Linked DNA regions of Notamacropus eugenii. The protein of the gene in region 3 purifies or fractionates together with the protein of the main gene of each other region. This does not show direct contact. Links are inferred from orthologs where the notes say so. Each region holds a gene or a part of one and is shown on either strand. Other genes may lie near its edges. The genes, in order: MTCH2, SLC6A8 and OCIAD1.

Region 1 (7,928 bases), about 100 Mb from region 3:
CAAATAAACCCTGGCACTGTGGAATCTAAACCCACAAATGTCAGCTTTTGATAGACAACCTGAATTAATTTCAGCTTAAGCCAAAGAATGTTGAAATGTGATTCTCTCCAACATGGAACTCAGGTTCATATTCCCAAGACGTACGACTTGGAAAGCACTTTGTAAACTTTAGTCATGTCAGATCTATTAAGCAAGACATCTTTATTAAGCACCCACCACACGCAGGACACTTCTCTGGCTGCCAGGAAACGTCCCAAGACAGAAGGACCCAGTCCCACTCACCCTCAGGAGTGGACACTCTACACACAGGACAAGAGGCCCAGACAAGTATGCACAAGGGACAAATAGAGTGGACATGAGGTAACCTCGGACGGAAAGCCACTGATGAGCCACTGAGGAAGGCCTTGCTCCCGAAAGGAAGCTGGGGACTCCAACAAGTGGACAAAGAGGGAATGGGGAACAGCTAGTACAAAGGCCCAGACAACGGAGATGAAGTCTCCTGAGTGAGGAACAGCATTCTGGTTAGATCTCCCAGTTGGTCAAAGGGAGTAAAGTGTCAGGAGACTGGAGATTTAGGAAGGGCCACACAGAAGATCTTCAAAGGCCAAACAGGAGGGTCCTCTCTGACCCTAACAGGAACTCATTTCATTTTTTGAACTATGAGGCTTTCTCCCCACTCCCTATTTCCCCCAGCCTGGAAACAAAAGAAAAGCCAAATCCCTACAACGAGTTCAGCCAAGCAGAAGAAGTCTCCAAGTTGCTCCCTGGCCCCGCAGGCTCCCCCTCTCGGCAGGGGGTGCCGATCCAGAACCACCCTGCCAGGTCTTGGCCCGTTGCAGACTCCTTTCCGGACGCCATCTCATTCTCCACGTCCCGCACTGGGGCTTGTTCAGCCCTCCACTCCCAGCTCCTGGCCACCACCAGGGCCGCGGGCAGGGCTGCACTTCCTCGCTGTTCCCCAAAGGCACCCCGCACACGGGCGTCCGAGCCCCCTTCCGAGCTCCCCGACAGCGCCCACCTGCCTGCTTTCCCCGAGCGCTTCGACACTTGGGTCTGAAGCTCGGATCTCTTCTGATTCGCATCTCACCAATCGCTGCCACCCAAGCTTCCGGAGTTGGGGTGTTCGTGGGGGCACGGCACCCCGCAGTACTTCTAGGAGACAGGCGGTGAGGACGGCGGAGATCGGGGAAGTGACCGGAGCTAGGACCTCGGGGGACGGCAAGAACGGGGACCCTCCCGGGGGACGCGAGGAGAAGAGAACGAGCGTTCAGACTGAAGTCAGGCTTGGCTGAGATGTCAGCCGGGGAGAGGGCGCGCCTGGCAGCGGGACCCGACACAGCACACAGCACGGGAGCTGAGATGTCAGCCGGGGAGAGGGCGAGCATGGCAGCGGGACCCGACACAGCACACAGCACGGGAGCTGAGATGTCAGCCGGGGAGAGGGCGAGCATGGCAGCGGGACCCGACACAGCACACAGCACGGGAGCTGAGATGTCAGCCGGGGAGAGGGTGCGCCTGGCAGCGGGACCTGACACAGCACACAGCACGGGAGCTGAGATGTCAGCTGGGGAGAGGGCGCGTCTGGCAGCGGACCCGACACAGCACACAGCACGGGAGCTGAGATGTCAGCTGGGGAGAGGGCGAGCATGGCAGCGGGACCCGACACAGCACACAGCACGGGAGCTGAGATGTCAGCTGGGGAGAGGGCGAGCGTGGCACCGGGACCCGACACAGCACACAGCACGGGAGCTGAGATGTCAGCCGGGGAGAGGGCGAGCGTGGCAGCAGGACCCGACACAGCACGGGAGCTGAGATGTCAGCCGGGGAGAGGGTGCGCCTGGCAGCGGGACCTGACACAGCACACAGCACGGGAGCTGAGATGTCAGCCGGAGAGAGGGCGTGCCTGGCAGCGGGACCCCGGGAGAGGGCGCGCCCCCGGGAGAGGGCACGCCTGGCAGCGGGACCGACACAGCACAGGACTGAGGGGAGAACCAAGGGAACAGTGTCAGTGCCCGCAGCGAGTGCTGGGCAGTACCAGCGAAGGAGAAACTCGGGGGAAAGCTCAAAGTACTCAGCGCTCCAAAGGGGGCAAGCCCGCGCCGGCTCTCGGTGACTTTCTCGAACCCCGGGGCAGTGGGGCGCCCACGGGCTCCCAGGGCAGAGCAGAGAACAGATCCCGGGCACCCGCTGCCATTTCTGAGCGCGCTCCTGGTGCCCACACGGGTGCCTGGCTCCAAAGCCTGCCACGGACCGCAGCAGCCAGAAGGGCGACGGCCCCACGGCCACGGTGGCCCCACGGCCACGGTCACTCGGCGCCGGCAGAGGGGGGAGGGGCCGGGTCTTACGGCGCTTTTACCTCTTTTCATCATTTTCTTTCCGACTGAAAGGAAAAGGGAAGCGGGGGGAGGGTCCCCGTCCGGGCGGTCTCTGAGCTGGGCCGACGGGGAGAACCCATCACACCTTCTGGATCGGGTTCGGAGGCTCCTGGGCCCAGAAGGGGCCGGGCCGGGCCAGGGCCCCGGGCAGGCCGCGCGTCCCTTTCGCAAGGTCCCCTCAGGCCTGACTTTATGGGGCCCAGGGAACCAGGGATGAGGCGCCCCGGGCCTCGGGGCAGGCCGGGGACGGGGACGGCAGGCCGGGGACGGGGACGGCAGGCCGGGGACGGGGACGGCAGGCCCGGCGGCGGCTCCTCCTACCTGTACGAGCACCTTCACGTACATGAGCGGCTGCGAGAGGATAGTGAGGCCCGAGCCCAGCAGCACCTGACTGGCCGCCTCCGCCATGATGGCACCCACGGACTGAGCGACGGACTAGCGGGCTGGCGGACCAAGCCACCGACCGACCGGGTCCCGGATCACGTGCCGGGGCCGGCGGCTTCGCTGACCCGCGGAGCGCGCACGCACGCCCTCTCCCCGCCTTCCGCGAGCGGCGGCGGAGGCGCGCACGCAGGACCCGAAGAAACGGCGGCGCCTCGCGAGCCGAGGGGAGGAGGCGAGGCCTGTGGGGCGGGGTCGCCCCCTGGGCCCGTCCCCGCCCCCTGGGCCCGTCCCCGCCCCCTGGGCCCGTCCCCGCCCCCTGGGCCCGTCCAAGCCCCTGGGCCTGTCCTCGCTTTGGCCCCACGCGGCGGGGCGGAAGGCTACTGCGCTTGCGCGGGGCAGCAAGGGGCGGAGCGAGGCCTGAGGGAAGGAGGAGCCGTAACCGCCATGGCGGGTAGTTCACTTGGCCGCTAACTGCCGGACAGCTGGAAGAAAGCGCTCCCGGCCCTTCCCCCGGAGAATCACGAAGATAACCGCCTTCCTCCGGCGTCAGTCCGTGGGCCTCACTCGAGGATCCCCATTCCTCACCCAGGAGCGGGCGAGGAGCCCTTCTCCTGCTGCCCAGGCCTTCCCGCCCAAGCGGAGGCGAGCCGCGGGGGGCGCTGGGCGGAGCCACGTGAGGGGCCCGGGGGGCCCCCGCCCTTCGCTAGCGAGCGGCCGAGGTGACACTCGAACTCGGGAGTTTGGGCTCCCGAGGGCGGCCGTGGGAGCCAAGGGAGGGCCCCGTGGGGTTGGGAGCGTGGAACGTAACATCACCAAGCCCGTGCCCCGTCGGGGCTGCCCTTGCCCCCCTTGGGCGCCGGGCCGTTAGAGGTCTCAGCGGGGCCCGGGCCTTGAGGCTGCGCCCCCACCTCCGAGCCCGCCCGCGCCTTGCCCTCTGGGTGGGTTTCCGCGGCCCCACGAGCGCCGAGGCCCGGTCAGTGACGCGTGTGTTTGGCCCAAGAGCATCGCGAGGACCCCAGAAAACCAGGAAAAGGGGGCGGTGTGAAGGCCGAGCTCTCCTCAGGAGGCGGGCCTTCCTGCCATGTATTTTGTGCCCCCCTTGCCCGGAACATGTTTCTAAATGTGGAACAAGCGCAGAGCTACGCAGGAAACCAGTCCTATTAAAACATGGTTTCCAAGTGTTGTTTTTCAGAAGTTCGTAGGGCCCGCGTGGAGGGCGAGGGTGCTGAGGCGCGACGTCCCTGACGTCATCCCTTGCCTCTCCTGTTCTGTGCGCAGGCGCGCTTTGCCGCGTATTACACGTGGCTGAATTACTTGGGTCTGCCTTGTGCTGACACGATGCTGTCAGTCTGCCCTCGTCCAGGCAGTGCTCGCGGTGAGTCATCGGCAGTCAGGCTTGTAGCGGTCAAGGCTTTTATCTGAGCAGGAGGATTCCTTTAAAGCTGCGCCGGCAGAGCGCTAGCAGACACGGTGACGTATCTGGGGTGTCTGAGGGGGTGCCCGAGGAGAGATCTGGCGGGCTTCCCAGCCTTGGGGGGTTTTGTGACGGCGGAGACGTTGCCCAGGACAGCCTGCCTGTCCCTGCTTTGCCAGCGCCCCCGTGGAGGACGCCGCCGTGGAGGGTGCCCTCGTGGAGGGTGCCCCCGTGGAGGACGCCCCCGTGGAGGGTGCCCTCGTGGAGGGTGCCCCCGTGGAGGGTGCCCCCGTGGAGGACGCCCCCGTGGAGGGCGCCGTCGTGGAGGGTGCCCCCGTGGAGGGTACCCCCGTGGAGGACGCCCTCCGCCGCACGCTGACCTGGCGCCTGGACATCGGATAGCCAACGTTTTCTCAGTTGCCTTTCCCTTTCTTTTTTTGGTATCAGCAAAGTCTGAGACGTTTTTTCTTTACCTGTTACCTCTCTCTCCTCCAGATGTAGGTGACTGACCCTTCTGCCCCTCAAAGGTGTGTCACTCCAGGGTAGGTCCCTTCAACATCTAAAACCTTCAGGGTTAACGTTTCTCCATCTGCCTTCTCTCCAGAGTCCGAGTGTGGCGGTTCTGCTGTCCGTGGTGCTGACAGCTTGTTACCCAGACTGGGCAGATGCGTCTTTGTTTTCACCTGACCCTCCGTTTTCATCCTCAAATGCCCTTGGGATCACTCTTCACCCAACTTTGTTTTGGGAAGTTTGGATCCCTTTTGGAGCTTACTTTAAATTGATCTCACTTCTCGGTTAAGAGAGAGGTGATACCGCACACAACCTCCCCGCTTCCAGATGTTACAGATGTGCAGGACCGCCTTCGGATGCTAGGTCTCTTCTGGGCAGGTAAGTTGTTTGTTGACTAGGATGCTTTCTAAGGATCTTATTACTTTTTATCATGGAAGTGGGTTTATGTCAGTTAAACTCCTGTCTGAGATTGTTGGGGTCTGGATTTATACCCTTTTTCTGGCTACGCCCCATTTTTCATTGTGAGTAACTCGTTTGAATGGTTTCAGCTGGGTGCCGCTGTCTTTTGGTTTTGGCTTTTCTAGCTTTCTGACAGTTTTGAGGGTCGCTCTGATAAACAGGTGGGCTGATTATATCTAGGTAGCTCATTCAGGTAGGACTTCTATACTAATAATGGCATTTCCTGTCAAGGTAGAATCAACTTCATTTTCTTGGACCTTTTTAGGTGCTTGCCACGCTGTCAAGTGCCTAATGCTTATTTTCTTGAAGTATTCATAATATATAAAGGTGAGGCTTTTGAACAGTCTAATTCTTTTTGACTTCCCTCATTTTTCCTGATGCATGTTTTCCCATATACATTCTCACCTATGCTTCCCTTTGCATTGAAGATACCAAATACCAAAGTATAGATTGATTTGATTAGGAGAAAGGGAAACTTAGTGACTTCTATTAGAATTTCTGCACCATCTGTAAGACAGTGGTACATAAACTGCAGTTTTTCATGGTAGTCTTTTTGCAAAAACTTACGTAACATATCCAGTAAGGTGACAAAATGTTCCATGAGGTGTTATTTTAATTGTCTTTGGATGCAGAATAAAACCAGCTCTTCCAGTTTCCTTACGTGAGAATCTGTGAGCCATTCTCCTATTTAATGACAACTTCTGGTTTTGTTTAGTGAGAACATGAAGATTGATATGTCTAGTTCCTCCAGTAATATGTATACTTGGTATAGCTTCTATTCTCTCATTAGGGTAGCAACAACCAAGTTATAGATCATTTAAATCTGTGACTCTGGATAATCCCCACTTTGTCACCATCTGCTGTTATTGCCGAAGAAAGGGAACTGTTCAGGAATGAGCACAATTTAAAGTGTGTGTGTGTGTGTGTGTGTGTGTGTGTGTGTGTGTGTGTGTGGTTCGCCATTGCCAGTCATCAGTAATCATTTATTAAATGCATACTATGTCCTGACACCGTGATAAGTGCTGTGGAACTATTGCAAGTCACAAAACAGTTCCTGCTTTCAAGGAACTGACATTCTAATGGAGGAGACAACGTGTACCAACATTTAGGTCCATAATCTATGCAGAGACCAGGATGAGGATCTCAAGGTAGAAGTCTGCAGCAGCTGGGAGTACTGAGAAAGGCTTCCTGCAGAAGTAGCGAGAGAAGCCAGGGCAGGGAAGAGGCTGAGCTTACAGGCATGGGACTCAGCTAGGGCCTCTTGGTGATAAACACCCTCAGTACTTAGCTACCACATGCCATCTGTGGCTAGAACTGTACTTGAAACCTTTCCATTGTGACAGAACCTGCCAAAGCTTTGGAAAACCCAGGGTCATGACCTGCATGCCTTAGTGGGGTGTCACAATAGGACTTTTTGGTGAGTGAGCTGTTACTATAAAAATTATGTCTTCCCAGCAACCTTTTCTCAAAAACACAAAAATACTTCTCTTAACACTATACATATATAGTATTATAGCACTATGTAATGTTACTGTTGACCTAAATTAATCTGCACCATTGTTCTCCCATGGCTACAATATACTCCTTCCTTATATAGGACTTTCTGCATCCTTTCATCAAAATTCAGCTCAGGTACCACATCAAGCAATGCTCTTTCATCAAATGTTCCCAGAATATTTTGGACTTCTCTTTTGCCTTCATCCCATTCTATCTTGTATTATCATTTTCTGCATACTTGGCATATCTCACCTCCTCCTGGAGACTTTTAATTTCCTTGAGGACATAGACCATCGCCATTTGGCTTTCTACCTCTTTTTATCTGCGGGGCCTACCACAGTAGTGCCTTGTATACTTAATGTCTGTTGAATTTAATTATTGAGGACAGAGATTGGCTTTAACAAAATATCACTCTTAATCCAGTGTCCTACAAGTTGAGGATGTTATTTGACTCGAGGTCAGGTGATGGAAGGATATTATCATATTTTTTTGAAAACTTAAATCTATGAAGATGGCGGAGTAGAAAGACACACATACGCTAGCTCCGAACCCACAGCCCATAAAATATATGTAAAAAAGAACTCCCAACAAATTCTGGAGCAGTAGAAGCCACAGAACAACGGAGCGGACGAGATTTCTGTTCCAGAGAGCCCTCAAAACGTCTTGCAAAAGGTCCGTCGCGCCCCCCACCCGGAGCCGAGCCCAGCCCTGCCTTGGCCGCGCGGCACTGAGAGGAACAGATCCGAGCAGGCTTCAGGGACAGAATCTCCAGCTGCCTTGCAGGTCCCTCCACCCACGGGCCCCAAAGGTTGGTGAGAGGGTCTTCTCAGCGTGCGGAGAGGGAAGTGGGGTGCCCCCATAACTCAGGCCTCTTTGGAAGGCAGCAGCGGAGGCGGGAGCAGACCAGGGCTCCCCAAGCAGGGAGGAGCCCGGATCCATTGTTGAAGGTCTCTGCATAACCCCCCTGAGGGAACTGAGCCCTGAGGCGGCCCTGCCCGGACCTAACCTGAACACCTGAACTTCATCTCGCACTGAATAGCAGCCCTGCCCCTGCCGAAGCCCTGAGGCTGGGAAGCAGCATTTGAATCTCAGACCCCAGGCACTGGCTAGGCAGATCTGGAGGCAAAGTGGGTGTGAAGAGAATACTCAGAAGTCAAGTCACTGGATGGGAAAATGCCCAGAAAAGGGAAAAAAAATAAGACTACAGAAGGTTACTTTCTTGGTGAACAGATATTTCCTCCCTTCCTTTCTGATGAGGAAGAACAATGCTTACCATCAGGGAAAGACAC
Region 2 (7,460 bases), on a different chromosome or scaffold from region 3:
AAGCATGCATGTGAGAGAAACCCACGCCAGGGGGTGGAGACAGCTGGTGAGCCAGGGAGGGGCCCCAGGGTCCCCCAACCTGGGCAGGAGAAAAGGACAGATGGGGGAGGCCAGGGAGAGCTTTCTGGAGGAAATGGAAAACGGAGCCCCAGCCTGGGATAGGGTCAAGAGATAAGACCGGAGGCAGGGACAGAGATGAAAGACAGGGAAAGGAGAAGAGAATGGGAGGAGAAAGGAGAAAGGTCAGAGAGACATGGGACCAGTGGGCCCAGGGAATTGATGGAGGGTACAGGGAGGTGATGGGAGGGTGTATGAGCCAGCTAGAAGTCCCAGCCCTGTTGAACTGGGTTGGAGACGCTGCTTTTACCTTCTAAGCCTGCCCCCCTCCTTCTAACCCAGCCTCCTCCCCCAGGGCCTCAGGCACTGAGGATTGGGCTAGCAGAAGGGTCAAGGCCAAGGACAGTGGCTGGGAGGAGGGAGAGAGGAACCCATAACCCACTGAGATACTGAGGATCTGGGACCATCTTATCCTACTCCTCCCCAATCCTCTCCTTCTCCCCCAGATAGCAGAGCTGAGCATCAGATTTCTGGCTTCTCAGACCCCTAATGCTGCTGGGCCCCTGAACCTCCAGATTCTGGTTCACTCTCCTTAATATAATGGTATCTAGACAGCACCCTCCCCACGAGCAGCCCCCCCCCTTGGGGTGCAAATTATGACTCCATACGCCTTATGAACACACCAAGAACATACATGCAACATGTCGTCATGTATACATGAGCGATGACTGAGTGCACGTACCCTGTGGGGTACGTGTATTCACATGTAACAGCATGTGCATGAGCATGAATGATAAACACATGCGTAGAACACGTGTAAGTGCGTACGCATGTGTACATAAAGCCAGGCCTGTGTACCTAAGGGGGCAGAAGCACCCAGTGTGACAGGCAGTCAGATAGTGGCCCATTGTGCAGTGCAGGAAGGTGTGCACTCACTCAGTATGGTACTGTGGGCCCTGGGGGGGGGGGGTAGGGGGGGGGTGTCAGGCAGACACCTCCTAGAGCTCTCCCAGTAACCCATGCTCTTAAAGGGGCAGTCAGCCCCTGAGATGGATTGGGGAGGGGGCAAAACCGTTTCAGAAAAGGCCTTTCTCTTGCCTTTCAAATTCCCTTCACTGTTCCCCATCTCCAACCCCTACTTCCACCCTCACCCCCCCAACCAAGAGTCTTCACTATCCTTCCCATTTACAGTTCCCCAGCTTTTAGGGTGGGCAAAGCAATGAGAGTGGCAGACCTGGGCCCACCCCGGGGGCATCTCCCAGCCCCTAGTTCCACCCCTGGGAACATTGAAGACTCAGGAAGAGGGGACTTCAGGACCCCAGTCACTACTTGCTGGCGTTCTCGATATCCCTTCCCCCCCACCCCATCTACACACAACCCTTTTCCCCTCCCCTTCCGGGTCCTCCCTGTCCATGGACTTTGGCATCTCTGACTGGGTAGGGATGGACCAAAGGGAGGAAGGAGGCCGATGGATGACCAGGGCAATGGAGGGGCGTGTGTGGAGTTCAACTGGCAAAGTAGGCTAGGCGGTGAGAAGCAAGGAGAGATAGACGGGGGAAAACGGTCTGCCAAGGATTAGGAGCTGGAGGTGAAGCAGATGGGGGGATGGGGTCGGAGGGAAAGGGAGCAGGGCTGGAGGAATAGGATAGACAAGTGGGGGGGGGGTTAGAGAAGGTGGGGGGGACGGACACTGATGTGGGCCAGGAGGTGAGCATCCGGGAGAGAAGATAAGCCAGCTGCACACTCACCTCCGCCGTTCTTGTAGCACAGGTACGGGAAACGCCAGACGTTGCCAAGGCCCACCGCGAAACCCACACAAGACATGATGAAGTCCATCTGGCGGGTCCATGTCTCCCGGGGCGGGATGGCCAGGCCTGGGCCCGGGGCCCCCCGCCCGGCTGCTGCCACCTCCGCCTTGACTGGGGGGGCCCCGTCCGCGGGGTCAAGAAGGGAGGCCTTCTTTTCTCTAGACACGCTGTAGATGCCGTTCTCTGTGGTCTTCTTCGCCATGGCCCCGCTACTAGGCAGGGCTGGGGGTGTGTGTGAAGTGTGTGTATGTATGTGTGTGTGTGTGTGTGAAGTGTGTGTATGTATGTGTGTGTGTGTGGGGTGTGTGTGTGTGTGTGTGTGTGTGTGAATACGACAGAGGGCTCGGATTAGGGTGAGGGGGGATCACGGAGAGAATACAAAGGACACTGTCTGGGTACTCCTGACCCTTTAAAGGAGGCCCGGGTACTCCGACGCACAAGGTGGTCTCCTCAAATCCCCTCTAAAGAATTCGCCAACTGTCGACAGCAGATGCCCCTAACAATTGGGGGAGGGGGACACAAGCCCAAGATCTACGGGGGCAGCAAGGGAGCAGCCCCCAGAATTTGGGGAGGGGGGTTAACTTTGCCAGAGGGAAGGGGAGGGGGGAGGGGAAGGGGAAAGGATGGGGATTCCCCTAGTTGGGGGGAGGATAAAGGGTTGTGAGGTTCGAGGGGGCGGGAGGGGGGGACTCAGAAGCAATCGACAAAACACTTGAAAGTCAGCCTGAAGAATCTCATGTGTGTCCGGGGCTGGAGGGGGGAGACTCGGACAGCTGCTGGGGACTCGGCCCGGCGGCTGCGACGGCGCTGGCGGTGGCGGTGGCGGTGGCGGCTACAGCGGGGGACGCCTATGGGGGCTTAGCGGGGCCCGAGGTTCACCTGGGCACTCCGGGAGGCATAGAATGCCAAGGGGCAAGCGGCCGAGTGGAGGTCTGCTCGCTGTCGGCAAACTCTGGAAGAAGACGGCCGAGAAGGTGGTGGCGGGGTCCCTGCAGAGCAGGGGGGGGGGGGGCCTTCCGGCCCGAGCCCGAAAGGCTCTCCTCCTACCTTGGGCTATCCCCAGTAACTCCGACTCCGGGCTGATCGCCTGCTCCTCCGCTCCGATCTCCGAGCTCTCTCCCCAGCGGGCAGAACAATTCTCTCCCCCCGACTCGGGGCCGCTTAAGAGCCTGCTCCGAGGTGATGTCACTGTCGCCCCACCCCCGACAGTCGACTCCTCGTTCCTCCCTCTCCATCACTCCGCCCACCTCCTTGCCTTCCTCCTCCCAGCACGCTCGCTTGGGATGGGTTGGGCCCCCGCTGGCAAAGGCTTCTTAGCGGATTCCCCTCCCCGCCCCCAAGTCCTACAGCGCTCTGCCCTGGCACCCCCCGCACCCCACCCCCGCCTGCCAGACTGCCGCAGAGCGAAGCCTTCGGGTCAGCCCTGGCTCCCGTATCACTGCCCTCCCTGCCCTCCCTGTAACCTTTACTTCCCTTTCTTCGAGAACGCCTGTCTCCCTCCCCCCGGCAACACACATACTTTCCGGTCTCCCCTCCCCAGTCCCCCCCTCCTGGGCTTCGCTCCTGCTCCTCGTCCCCCCTTTTGCAACCCTGAGCACCTTTAAACACTGCCCACCCCCCTTTCTCCCCCCACAAGCCTTGACCTTCTCCCCCTTCCATTTGGCGCTGGATGGGGCTCATGGAATGGCCCAAGGAGGGAAATGGGGAAGCGTGAATTTAGGAGGGGAATGGGGGTGGGGATGGGGGCGGCTGCTAAGCTGTCCTAACCAAACATCCCTTTCTGGGTCGATAGATCTCATTTAAAGGGGTGACGGACTTCCCTTTTTTAAAGGTGGATGACTAGTGGTGTGGAATATTACTTACAGTACCTGACACAGTTAATGAGTAGGTTTTGCTGAATCGCTAGTTTTCTCTTTTTTTTATTCTTCGCTACAAAGTATGACTCGTTGCCCTCGGAGGTGACCGATAAATTCGTAAAAGAGTAAATTGTAAAAACCAACCTATCAGCAGAGATAAGATTATATTGCCACAACAACAAGGATTATATTGAAACAAACAAAGAAACTGTAGATCCGGGGCTGTCTTGGAGAGTTGTTACAGGATTGTAGATGGAGGGTCTGGGGGGAAGGGGGACTTTGGGCCAGGTAACAACTTCCCGGAGGCCTACCAAGCAAGGGAGGGTGGTACCTCTGAGGGATAAATGAGTGGGGTGTGGTGGGGGATGAAGGTGGATTAATGAATATAGATGAGTCTTTCTCTGATTACAAGAATCAACCTCCAGTCCCCAACTCAAAGCAGCTTGGGCATTTCTGATCCTGAGAGGGAACCCGTTACAACTGGTCATTAAGAAACAGAAAAGTCCTTTCTGTGAATGGAAGAAATGAGCTGAGGTTATCAGCCCTTTACCCCATTGTATGAGTGTGGACCAAGGGTGTGTACTTGTGGGTGTGTATATAGGAGTTCTACATCTGCCTCAGAAACAGAAACTGGAAGTGATCTTAGAGAAATGTTTGTCCAATCTAGTTCCCAGCCTGTTGACCTCATTATCCACCTGGCCCCAAGGCGCAGGCCCAGAGAACCTTCCTCCCTCATCTGGCCCCCTCACAGCTAGCTGCTGAGGTGTTTTTCCTGAAGCCTAAGTCTGACCATGGCAGGAAGCAACTAGGATCATCCGGTGACTTGGCCAAAGGCACACAGCTAGTTGGGGATGACTTGGCAGGGTTGGCACTCAGGGGCCTTGAACTGCATTCATCTGGGCATGGATCTGCATGTGTATCAGTGCAGAGGAACTTGTAAGGGAAGAACCAAGCACTGGCTACATTTGTGGCCCTAGTTAGGAGATAAGAGTGGATACTAGGTCCCAGATGCTTCCTTAGCAGATGCCTGACTTCTCTACTCCTCCATTTTCTCACAGGAAAAAGGGAGTCACTGGGTGGTTGGAAGTGAGGTGCTTTGCAAACCAAAGGGTCCTAGAAATAGACATCCTGGATGATTGCTTTGGCAGAGTAGAGACCTCCTCTTGAACGGCTCACATACAGCTCAAATTCAGTACGTGCAAAGCAGACCTCATTATCTTTCCTCCTAAATCCACCCCTCCTTCTAACGTCCTAATTTCTGTTCAGGACACCTTTGTTTTTCTAGTTACCAGATTCATCAACTTCCGAGTCACCCTCAAATCTCCTCCCAGTCCCCATATTTAAGCAGTAGCCAGGTTCCAAGTATCCCTCTGTAGGCCTGTAATTTTGCTTTTACCTACACAGCCTGCACCAGGTTCAGGCCCTGATCACAGCTTTCCCATCCTAAGTGGTCTCCCCACTCTCCAATCATCCTCCACCCCTGCCAATGGTTCAGGGAGGAAGGAGTGTGGTTCGGCGGCCCTCTGGTGACCACTATGGGAACCTCCCCCTGCGGGCCCAAGAGGCCCCTCCCCAGAATTTCCAGCTGTACTAGTCACTCCTTGGTTCCTACATCCCAGGCCTAAGGCTCAGCACTTACGAATTAGTGGTTCCCTTGAGGGGGAAAACTCATCTCCCTGTCTCTTTCCCTCCCTCCCTTTCTCTCTTCCTCTCTTCCTCCTTCCCTTCTTCTCCCAGCCAAGGGCCCCAGTGCCCAGGCCTAAGGCTCAGCCAGCTAAGCCTCTAGCCAGCTGGGAGCTGGCAAATCCAGTTCCAGAGTAAACCAGATTGAGCTGCTGTCCCCTAGAGCTCCTGCCCTAGGGGACCTATGAGTCTGAGAGTAGAAGGTTGGGTTGCTTAGTGGTGACGCCTAGGAGGAGCAGGAGGGAGCCAGAGCCAGCCGGTGTCTCCCGTTAATATCTTTCCTGGCCTGTCTTTCCTTTGTAAGGGGTTGGGGGGGGCATTGAATCAATCACCCCACCCCACCCCACTTAAAATGACTAAAGAAATGCCACATCCCCTGATCCCTTTATCCGGTGACAACCTACAAGTACTTCATACCAGACTGTGTGCCCGGCCTTGGCAGCTGGAACGATCTCTGCCCTCTGGGAGTTGATCTTCTAATGGGGAGGCTGGTTGGTTGGTTATTGTCCTTTAATGGGGAAGCTACTGGGACATGTGTAAGTGTAGACGGGGTAAATCTAAGGAGAGTAAAATACAAAACCTTAAGTACAAGGTAGCTGGGGAGGGAGGGCACCGTGTTGGGAGGAAAAAGGAAAAAGCGAGGCCGAGAGAACCCAGCAAGGCTTGGGGTCTGTGCAGAAGTGTCATTTAGAGGACAGTTTTGAGGATCCCAGGGTATGGAAGAAGGGACATCCAATAGAAAGGGAGGTAGGAACCAGATTTCAAAATGCTTTAAAAACTAAACAGAGAAGCTTATATATATCATCATCTAGGTAGTAAGGGGCCATCAGAGTTGATTGTCAAGGGTTCATATCTGTGTTTTGGCAGCAGTGTGGAGGATGGGCTTCAGTGAGAGGGGACTTGAGGCAGGGAGTCCAATGAAGAGGCTGGTGCAACAATCGGAAGTAAGATAGTACTATGTGAGTGGAGAGAAGGGGTAAGATGGAAGGGCAAAAGGGCAAGATTTGGCATTAACTTTGAGATATGTAGGATGAGAGAGAGCCAGGAGACCAGGATGATGCCAAGGTTATGAAGCTGGGAGACTAGAGGAATGGTGGTGCCTTTGACAGATAAGAGGGAAGCTTGGAAGAGGGGAGGGTTTGGGGGGTGTGGGGTAATGACTTCAGTTTTGGACATGTTAAGTTTGAGGTATTCCTGGGATATCCAGTTTAAAAAAGGTAATTGGTGATGTGGGACTGGGGCTGAATATATACTTATCCCTTCTATACCTCAGGGGTTAAAGGCTTGGGACCCCTCCCCCCCAAAATCTGGAAAATCCAAGTAAAAAGTTTTGGCCCTCCCTTTGTACCAAAGAAGAAACCTTAATTATTATGGTATCAAATGATGAAATATGTTGGTATTATACAATACTATACATACATTTTATGTATTTCTGAGTTTCTAAAGTTTTTCTGTCGTTTGCACTTTCCATAAAACTCCTAAAAAATTCCCATTTAATTTCTTATGCCGACCTGTGATATATTGAAACCGAGATGGGCAAAATCTTGATGTGCAAGGGATAACTGTATAAATTTGGATGTCATCCAATGGAGATAATAGTTCAGAGGTGGGAACGTTGCAGCTTTCAGGGCACATGTGGCCCTCAAGGTCCTGGGATGCAGCCTTTTGACTGAGTCCAAGTTTTACAGAACAAATCCTTTTATTAAGGGGATTTGTTCTGGGAAGTTTGGATTTGGTCAAAGGGCCGCTCTTCAGGATCTAGAAGGCCACGTGTAGCCTCGAGGCCACAAGTTCCCCACCCGGGACTGAGCAATTAAGAAAGCATTGGGTCCTTTGAACCAGAGATTCTACTACTAGACATATACCTGAAGGTCCCCACATACACCAAAGAAAGGATCCATCATAAACCAAAACTTTATAGCAACATTTTTTGTTGTAGCAGAGAACTGCAAAGTGGATGCCCAGAGACAGAGGAACAGCTAAACAAATTGTGGTACAGGAAGGTAATAGAATGTTTCTGGGCTGTAAGAAATGAGGACTATGATGAATATAGAAA
Region 3 (7,936 bases):
AAAAGTGACCTCTTCACCAGTTCTTCAGCAAGAATTGAAAAGCGTTAAGAAACTTTGTTTTGATAACACTGTGATCTTTTCAGACACTTAATTACTTTCAGACAATAATTACTTAAAATGTAATAAATAACTTGACTTACATCTGTACCAGAAGCTCTCTCGATTACATTCAGCGAAGACTCTTCTTTCCTCTTCCGTCGGAATGTAATCCATTCCTATGTCTTTTTATCAAAGTTAAAAAAAAAAACAATCAAAAAACCTACAAGAAAAAACTCTACATTTTAACAGTATTCATTCTTCAATGACACAATTAAAATATGTAGAAAGTACTTTTTCAACTTTGGAAAAATTTCGATTTCAAATATGTCTAAACCTTAGTATCTCTCAAGCCAAAGAAAAGTAAACTACAGAAAGTTTCAGCATTTACAAATGTTCAATAAATTATTTACTAGGTAGTGGTGGTGAGACTTCTGCATTCTGCTCTGTCCCAAAATCGGTCCTTCCACTCATCTTTCCTGTTGTAAGAGAATTATATTAGAAGGTTAAGAAGTATCACAAAATTATTTAAAAATAGATACTGTTATTGATTCATAAACATGACATCACAAAAACTACCAGGATGGGTAAAAAAAAATCATAGTTTTGTTGAGTAGGGTGAAGTTATTCCCTCATTAAAATACTATGTCTATAAAATGGCACTGGGGAGGAAATCTTGCAACTTCACAAATACTTGTCATCTGTGTTGCCTTTGCAATTGTGCAAAACCAAAAGGAATGCTTATCTTAGTAAAGTTGATTTATTTCACATAATTTTATGGAAAATTCAAATTCATCCCAATTCCTCACAAAACATTGGTACTAGAAGCAATCTCAGGGGCAGCTAGATGGCTAATTGGATAGAGTGCTGAGTCTAGGGTCAGGAAAACCAGAATTCAAATCCAGCCTCAGGTAACTGACTAGTTGTGTTAACCTGGGAGAATCCTTTAACCACCGTCTGTCTTAATCCACTGGAGAAGGAGATGGCAAACCTTTCTATTATCTTTGCCAAGAAAATCCCAGGTAGCACTGGCACGCTGTGGTTCCAGGGGTCACTGAAGAATAAGTAGACCATGACCAAGTAACAAAGTAGTAATCTCAGACATCATGTATTTATTCTAACCTCTTTATTCTACTGATGAAGAAACTAAGAAGTGCATAGTTACTTGCATAAGGTCGCACAAAGGAAAAATTAATGGGTCCTTAAGCTGCAGTATGAGAGCAATACAACATAAAATAATAAAATTTGGTACTAGTTAACAAATAAAAAAGACGACTAGTGAAACATTACATAAGTCATCCAAAACAGTAGTATAGTATTTGATAAACTGAAAGACAAAACTCCTAAGATAAGGACTCCATTTCTGGAAAAATGTAAAAGCAGTGAGGCAAGAATTAGGTGTCGATCTTACCCCTCTATGGGAATTGTTTAAAACGTTTTGGCATGCAAAAATACTGTGATAAATGCGACTTCGACTAAAACTATGCCAATATTACTTATAATTTATGCCAATTATAATTGGTGGAATCGAACTCACTCTAGGTCCTTCTATTTTCAAATCTAATATCCTTTCCTCTACAAAAAAAACCAGGAGTGATCATAAAATACTAGCCTTCTTTTTGGCAAAAAAAAAAAAAAAGCAGTTTGGAAAAAATGGGAGGGCAGATTCCATCTTTCTACTTATTTAAATTCATCCTCAAATTCAGATATATGATCCTGTCCTACGTCCCACGGAAAGCCCTTGCTTCTCAACATACAATTATAAAATGAGATAATTTTTAAAAAGTTGAATTACAAAAGGGTTAGCCACAACACACCACAGAAGGCATGCCCGGGAGGCGGGGGAAGGAACCTAACTCCAGCCCCTGACAGCCCAGGGAGATCACTGGGTGCCCTGGAGCCTTAAAGCAAGGGGCAGTTTTCTCACTGGGAGTTCCCCACAGAACTGAGCCCCCCCACAAAACAGACGCGGGGGCAGGCCGGGCCTCGGACGCTTCCCCGGCATTTTACAGACCGGCAGTCCGCAGCGCGCTCGGGCCCCCTCCCCCACCGAAGGAAGACAATACGTCTAGACAGCCTCTAAAACGCAGGGGGCAAAAAAGGCTCGATTGCACGGGAGGTCCCAGAGGACACGGAGAACAAACAAAGTAGGCGACCCTCCCCGCTCCGCCCCCAAACGGGGTTCCCATGGCCCGGAGCACAGACGGCCCCCCTAACTCCTGGACCCCTCCCCCTCCTCCCCACCCCGGACACCCAGCAGCCGCCCGGTCCCGCGGATGAATGGGGAGCGGGATGGGAGGTCACAGCTTCTCGGCCCCGGAGGCCCTGAGTTCCCTCGGGGTTGTCCGGCTGGTCGTGCCCTCCCTTCTGGGCCAGGAAGGCCCCTCACCCACCTCCCGGCGGCGGCGGCGGCGGCGGCAGCAAGAGCGCACGCGAGCCCCCCCCACCTAAGCTGCGGGAGGGAGGGGACGAAGGGATGGGCCGGGGGGCGGGGCTGGCGCTACGCGAGAGCGAGGCCGGAGGAAGGCACGCGAGGCCGGCCGAGGGGGCGGAGTGGGCACCTAGCGTTTAAGCTAAAGGACAAAGACCCGGATGCTTACGTAATCAAGGAGCAGGAAATGACCTCAAGACCTCCACCAACCACCTTCTCCTTCTACACTCACGTGCAAACACTCGCGGGCTTTGGTTGGAAATCTACTTTAGTCCCGCCCCTTCTCCCTCCCCTTTCCCACCCTCTCGAGGCCTCCTCGCACTGCACTTGCGCACGTCAGGCGTCTGAGTTCTAGAGCCGCAAGTCCCTTTCCACCTCCCGGTTGGGAATTGAACTTTTGCCCTCTGCGACCCATCTTTTCTTAAACCTAACTGAATTCCTGAGCGGGCAAAGCACGAGAATTCTGGGACCCTCCTGAGCACTTGGCGCCTCGTATTCTCGCGGGGGGACACGTAGGAGCCCACCTGCATTCAAGCGGTGCGGAGGCAGAAAAGGGACTCTTTCCTTGCCAGGATCCCTTGCGTCTCGTTTGCCCCGTCCGCAGCCTAATGCAGCTTCCATTCTACACTATGTCCCCTGCGTGCGCCACCGCAGACCCCAGTAACGCGTGGGGCAGGGGCATGCCACGTGGTAGTGGAGCGTGGGATTTGGAGTCAGCACTTGGATGCTAGAGCCAGCCAGGAGCTGATGACGTTAGGCCAGGCACCACCTCTCTGGGAAGTCAGTGGCCTGATCAGTAAGTACGAGGATTGGGCCGGCACGAGCTCCAGGGTCCCTTCTGTTAATTAGTTATACGATGAGACTACTGTGTGCCCTGTGGAAACAAAGCCAAACAGTCCGCAGTATAGGCCTTGCAGCCCCCTCTCAAGTCAAAAGAACTGGAAGCCCTGAGATGGTTACTCCAGAACACTTTTTCATTGTATTAGTTTAACTCCCCTTTCTCTAATTTCTTCACAACAGAAGGCACGTGTATGTGTTCCTGTGTGTTGTCAGGTAGGTGGGTTGTCTACGTGTGGCTTACCGTGAGGGATAAGTAGATCTCTCTGGAATGTCTCCCAACTGATTCCTACCTGGAGAGGAGCAGGAGATTGGAGCCACTAAGCTCTCTTGCTCTACTCTGCTCAGAGGGGATGCTAGACCAGAATTTATCCGTCTGATCCCCTCCCCCAAGTTTTGCTAGTCTAGAAGAGATAATTTTTAGGTTCAAGCCCAGTTACTCTCATTTAACAAAAAAGGCGGTCCCCAAGGTATATCTGATATCTGAAGGCTCAACTATTTTCCCACCAAAAGATAGTTATGAGAAAACCATTCACAAATTGTGAATAAAACCCTTTTATCCAAGGCAACAGGAAATAGAAATGAGAGAAGTTGTACAGGTTACAGTATACTAGACAATACACAGAGTGAGCTCTTTCACTGGAAATGAAATCTCAGCTCAACCAAGGGAGTCCCCAATGTCACCTAGGAAGAAATACATCAAAGTCCGTGGTGTTGCAGGCTGGGAATCAGGGACGTGTTCAGCTACTGGCTCTTTATATATTGGCTTTTTCCCAGAGTCTTTTTTTCCCTTCAGGGGCCTCTCCCTGAACCAGCCTGGAATGGTATGTGTCCTCTCTTGAAGCCAGGTGCTGAGCACAAAGGATCTCTTCCTGTCCCAAACTTAACAACTCTTCCCCTTACAAAGGTATGAAGCATCAGATAGTCATTCTTTGCACCAATAAAAGGGAGTCTTGTGAGAATTCAGCAACCTTGTGGCAATTAATCTCTTTCCTAGTTTCTTTTTGTGGATGTTTCCTTATGGAATTTGTGTCCTTTCCTCTTTGATGTGCTGTTGTTTTCTTTTTAGTTTGGTGAATTTCTAGCTGTTTTGAGGTCCTTAATAATCTGTTTAGGCTTATGCCAAACCATTCACTCAGGCTTCCTTCCTGGAGTCCTTTCCTTTATTCTAAATAGCATAAAAGAAGTCCTCTTGTTGATGAATCCCTCTCTCCAGTTCTGTTTCTATTCTGGCTTTACCACATCCCTAGTCCTGGAAAATCTATAAAATTCCACCTGCTAGGAGGTGGAGTCTGGTTGAATCATACTGGGGAAAAGAATCTAACAGGCACATGGTGTGGGCCAGTAGATGCCCTTGGTGGGGATTGGCCTGCAACTGTAGATAATTTCAGCTGCTTGCTCTCTGTGTAGCTCTGTGGAACTTGGAACTGGAAGTGGGTAGCTCAGATAGTGACTTTTTCTCAATCTGGACTATCAGACTCACCAGCAAATTAGGGTTCAAGAGTAAGGAAAGCCACATGGCCACAATTCAGTCTCTCAGAAGTCTTAGGGGTAATCCTAGTGTGTCAAAGATATTCACAAGCTTTGCTTCTGCCCCCCCCCCCACCCCCCCCAGTGATGTCCATTTAAAGCATAACAGTCAAAATGATGCCATTAATTTTGAATCATGAAACAATTAGAATGCAGAATACAAAGCAATTTTAACTGTAACATAGCAGTTCACCTATAAATTCGAGTAACATCCCCACTAATGCATGTAGTTTCCATGGGAAAAGTAGACGGACACAAACTTAACAGAATTCTAGCAAAGAGGCCCATTTGTAAGGAAATGTGGCAGTAGCAACTGAGAACTACAGGAACTGATGCTACTGGCTCTCTAGGGAACAGTCTGCCACATGAAGCACTAGGTAGACAGAATTGCTTCTGGTTGCTCCTCTGGAACTGATCCAAGACTGGTCTCTAAAGCAGCATTATACTCTTTTATCAGAATCATTTCTTATAAGTCTGGGATTTGTAGAACTATTTAGATCTGCTTTTTTTAGCTGGACTGAGAGGAAGGAGAAGTTCCCCCTTTTCAAGCCACAGGTAAAGGTAAAGGACATGGTAGACAAGCTTTATCTTTTCCCACCAGCTAGAAATACAGATGTGCTGGCACCAGGTACTGGCTTGTGAAAACCAATTGTTAAATTTTCAGGATAAGTTTTTATTACTTGTGAAAATTGGCAAATCCTACAGATCAGGACTTGATTTATTAACTTGTTGATTTGTAGACTTAATAAAGTGATTGAGAAAATGTTAGTAATGCAAATTAAACTTACCATTATATCTTGCATAATGTACTTTAAAGAATTGGTTGCTGAGCATTTACCAATACACTCCTGGTTAAGCAGCAAAGGATTCTTCCTTCTCCAATAAGCTGCCAGCTGCAATCATTTTCCTCCAATCATTTCAGCTCGTAGAAACAGAGTTTAAGTCTTAATCCATACAGCTCAGCAGAAGGGCAATGCTCTTCTCTCTGCCCTTAGTATGAGTGCTTTTTTTAGGAACATCTGCTGGAATCATCATCATCATCCACATCCAATTCCTGTAGTTCTCAGTTGTTCCTGTCACTTTTCCTCACTAATGGGCTTCTTTGCTAGAATTTTGTTAAGTTTGTGTCCACTTTTCCCATGGAAACTATAAGCATTAGTGGGAATGTTACTCAGATTTATAGGTGGACTGCTATAGTATGGTTATGCAGTCTTAATTCTGAGCCGTGTTCTCAGCTCTTTTTAACTGAACTGCTCTCTCTCCAGCCAGCCAGGGGCCAGTCCTGCCTTCTTCCTGTGCTACTGTCTTCGCTCAGCTCCTTCAGTCTCCACTTCCGTCTCTCCTACCTCATAGCATGATGTTCTCCTTTATGATGTTCCTCATCTCTGCCTTATGGTGAGAAACCAAAATTCACACCTTCATTGGTCCACCACAAATATATAATATGTGGTTGTCTCATAGTTATCAAAAAGTTTTATTTATTAGGGTTTTCCAACTCTAAAGTTCAAAATCTTCGTTAATAGTTACATATAAATTGGTTTCTGGGAAACCAGACACTTGGACCTTCTTTGTCTTCAGTAAGTACTTTTCCCTGAGAATTGTTTTCTCTCGGGACTTTTCAGTACTCCACAATTAATTTTCTCTGATGCTCTGCTTTCTTTTTTATTTCTTCTTTTTCGTTTATTCTGAACTTAAAAAACACCAGATACAATGAACAGTGTAGATCAGGAGGAAAGGACTCTATATACAACTGTAAATCTATTATGTAGAGCTTGTTTTTCTTTTCAATTGTTCTTGTTCAGTCATTTTCAGCCCTGTCCTACTCTTTGTGACCCTATTTGGAATTTTCTTGGCAGAGATACGAGAGTGGTTTGCCATTTCCTTCCCCAGTTCATTTTACAAATGAGAAAACTTAATAACATTCAGACTGTCCTGCTTGTCTATAGTCTTCCTTTTGTTCTCTCTTTGTTTTTGGGAGGGGGGCGTTGGAGTGGGAACTCTGTCCCTCACTCCCCTCTCCCTCCCCCGAAAAAAAATTAAAGAAGAAGAAAAACAAAACTTTGGGACAAAATTGCATAATTCATAATTTTAAAAAATTCTCACATTGACCGTATCTAAAAATATATAGCTTTCTTTATCTTAAATGTGTCACCTCCCTGTCCAAAGGTGGTGGTAGCATGCTTCAGCATTTGTCCTCTGGAATTGTGGTTTGGCATTGTAGTGATCAAAAAAGTTGAGTCTCAAAATTGTTTGTATTTACAGTGGTATTGTTATTATACAAATTGTTCTGGTTTTGTTCACTTTTCTCTGAATCCATTCATATAAAGCCTATCAATAGGTTCCTTTGAATAGATTCCTTTTGTCACTCCTTATGGTGCAATAATATTTCCATTTTATTCATATATTATAGTTTCTCTAGCCACTTCCCAATTCATTGACACATTCACAGTTTCCAGTACTGCTACATACAGAGCTGCTATGAATATTTTTGTACATATGAATCATTTTCCTCTTTCTTTGATGTCTTTATTTTAATACTGGTATAACTGGATTAAAAGGTGTATACTACTTAGTATCTTTTGGAGCATAGTTCCAAATTGCTTTCCAGTATGGCTGAACCAGTTCACAACTCCAAGTCAACTCTAGTCAAGTCAACAAGCATTTAATAAGCACTAACTATGTGTCAGGCACTGTGCTCTAAGTACTGGGAACTCAAATACAAGCAAAAAGAAAGATAATCCTTTACCTCAATAACTTTACATTCTACCAGGAAAGACAACAAAAAGGAAACTGAAAAGTGGGAATAGGAGGAGAAGTTACCTGAACCAGGTCATGATGGAGAAAGAAGTTTGGAGATGCCGGAGAGGAGCCTTGTGGAACTTTGAAAGAATGAACATGAACACTTTCTTATAATGGAGGTTCTGTGAGGAACTGACCAATCAGAAGAAGGACTGTAGGGTGGAGGTTTCTTCCATGATGAGAAAGCCACAGAACTGAGGGATTTTTCAGGGTGATAAGACTGCTGGAGAATAGTAGGGGAAGAAATGTAGGAATACATAAGTGGAGCCTAAAAAGGAATGGAGCTCCAGTAGTAGTAACTCA

Evidence for each region.
Region 1: the proteins of OCIAD1 (region 3) and MTCH2 purify together in Homo sapiens (affinity purification with mass spectrometry; 3 studies listed by BioGRID and IntAct, with this or other methods). This does not show direct contact. The link is inferred for Notamacropus eugenii from reciprocal best matches to the Homo sapiens genes OCIAD1 and MTCH2.
Region 2: the proteins of OCIAD1 (region 3) and SLC6A8 purify together in Homo sapiens (co-immunoprecipitation; 3 studies listed by BioGRID and IntAct, with this or other methods). This does not show direct contact. The link is inferred for Notamacropus eugenii from reciprocal best matches to the Homo sapiens genes OCIAD1 and SLC6A8.

Annotation. Positions count from the first base shown.
Region 1 is NC_092877.1:3,363,167-3,371,094, reverse strand, and holds the start of MTCH2 (mitochondrial carrier homolog 2), read right to left. Parts: upstream 3,015-7,928; 5' UTR 2,784-3,014; coding exon 2,697-2,783; intron 1-2,696. UniProt on the Homo sapiens protein: Protein insertase that mediates insertion of transmembrane proteins into the mitochondrial outer membrane. Catalyzes insertion of proteins with alpha-helical transmembrane regions, such as signal-anchored, tail-anchored and multi-pass membrane proteins.
Region 2 is NC_092879.1:22,484,090-22,491,549, reverse strand, and holds the start of SLC6A8 (sodium- and chloride-dependent creatine transporter 1), read right to left. Parts: upstream 3,002-7,460; 5' UTR 2,068-3,001; coding exon 1,806-2,067; intron 1-1,805. UniProt on the Homo sapiens protein: Creatine:sodium symporter which mediates the uptake of creatine. Plays an important role in supplying creatine to the brain via the blood-brain barrier.
Region 3 is NC_092877.1:103,232,951-103,240,886, reverse strand, and holds the start of OCIAD1 (OCIA domain-containing protein 1), read right to left. Parts: upstream 3,089-7,936; coding exon 2,992-3,088; intron 2,558-2,991; exon of another isoform or gene 2,430-2,557; intron 1,950-2,429; exon of another isoform or gene 1,028-1,949; intron 993-1,027; exon of another isoform or gene 970-992; intron 516-969; coding exon 450-515; intron 222-449; coding exon 141-221; intron 1-140. UniProt on the Homo sapiens protein: Maintains stem cell potency. Increases STAT3 phosphorylation and controls ERK phosphorylation. May act as a scaffold, increasing STAT3 recruitment onto endosomes. Involved in integrin-mediated cancer cell adhesion and colony formation in ovarian cancer.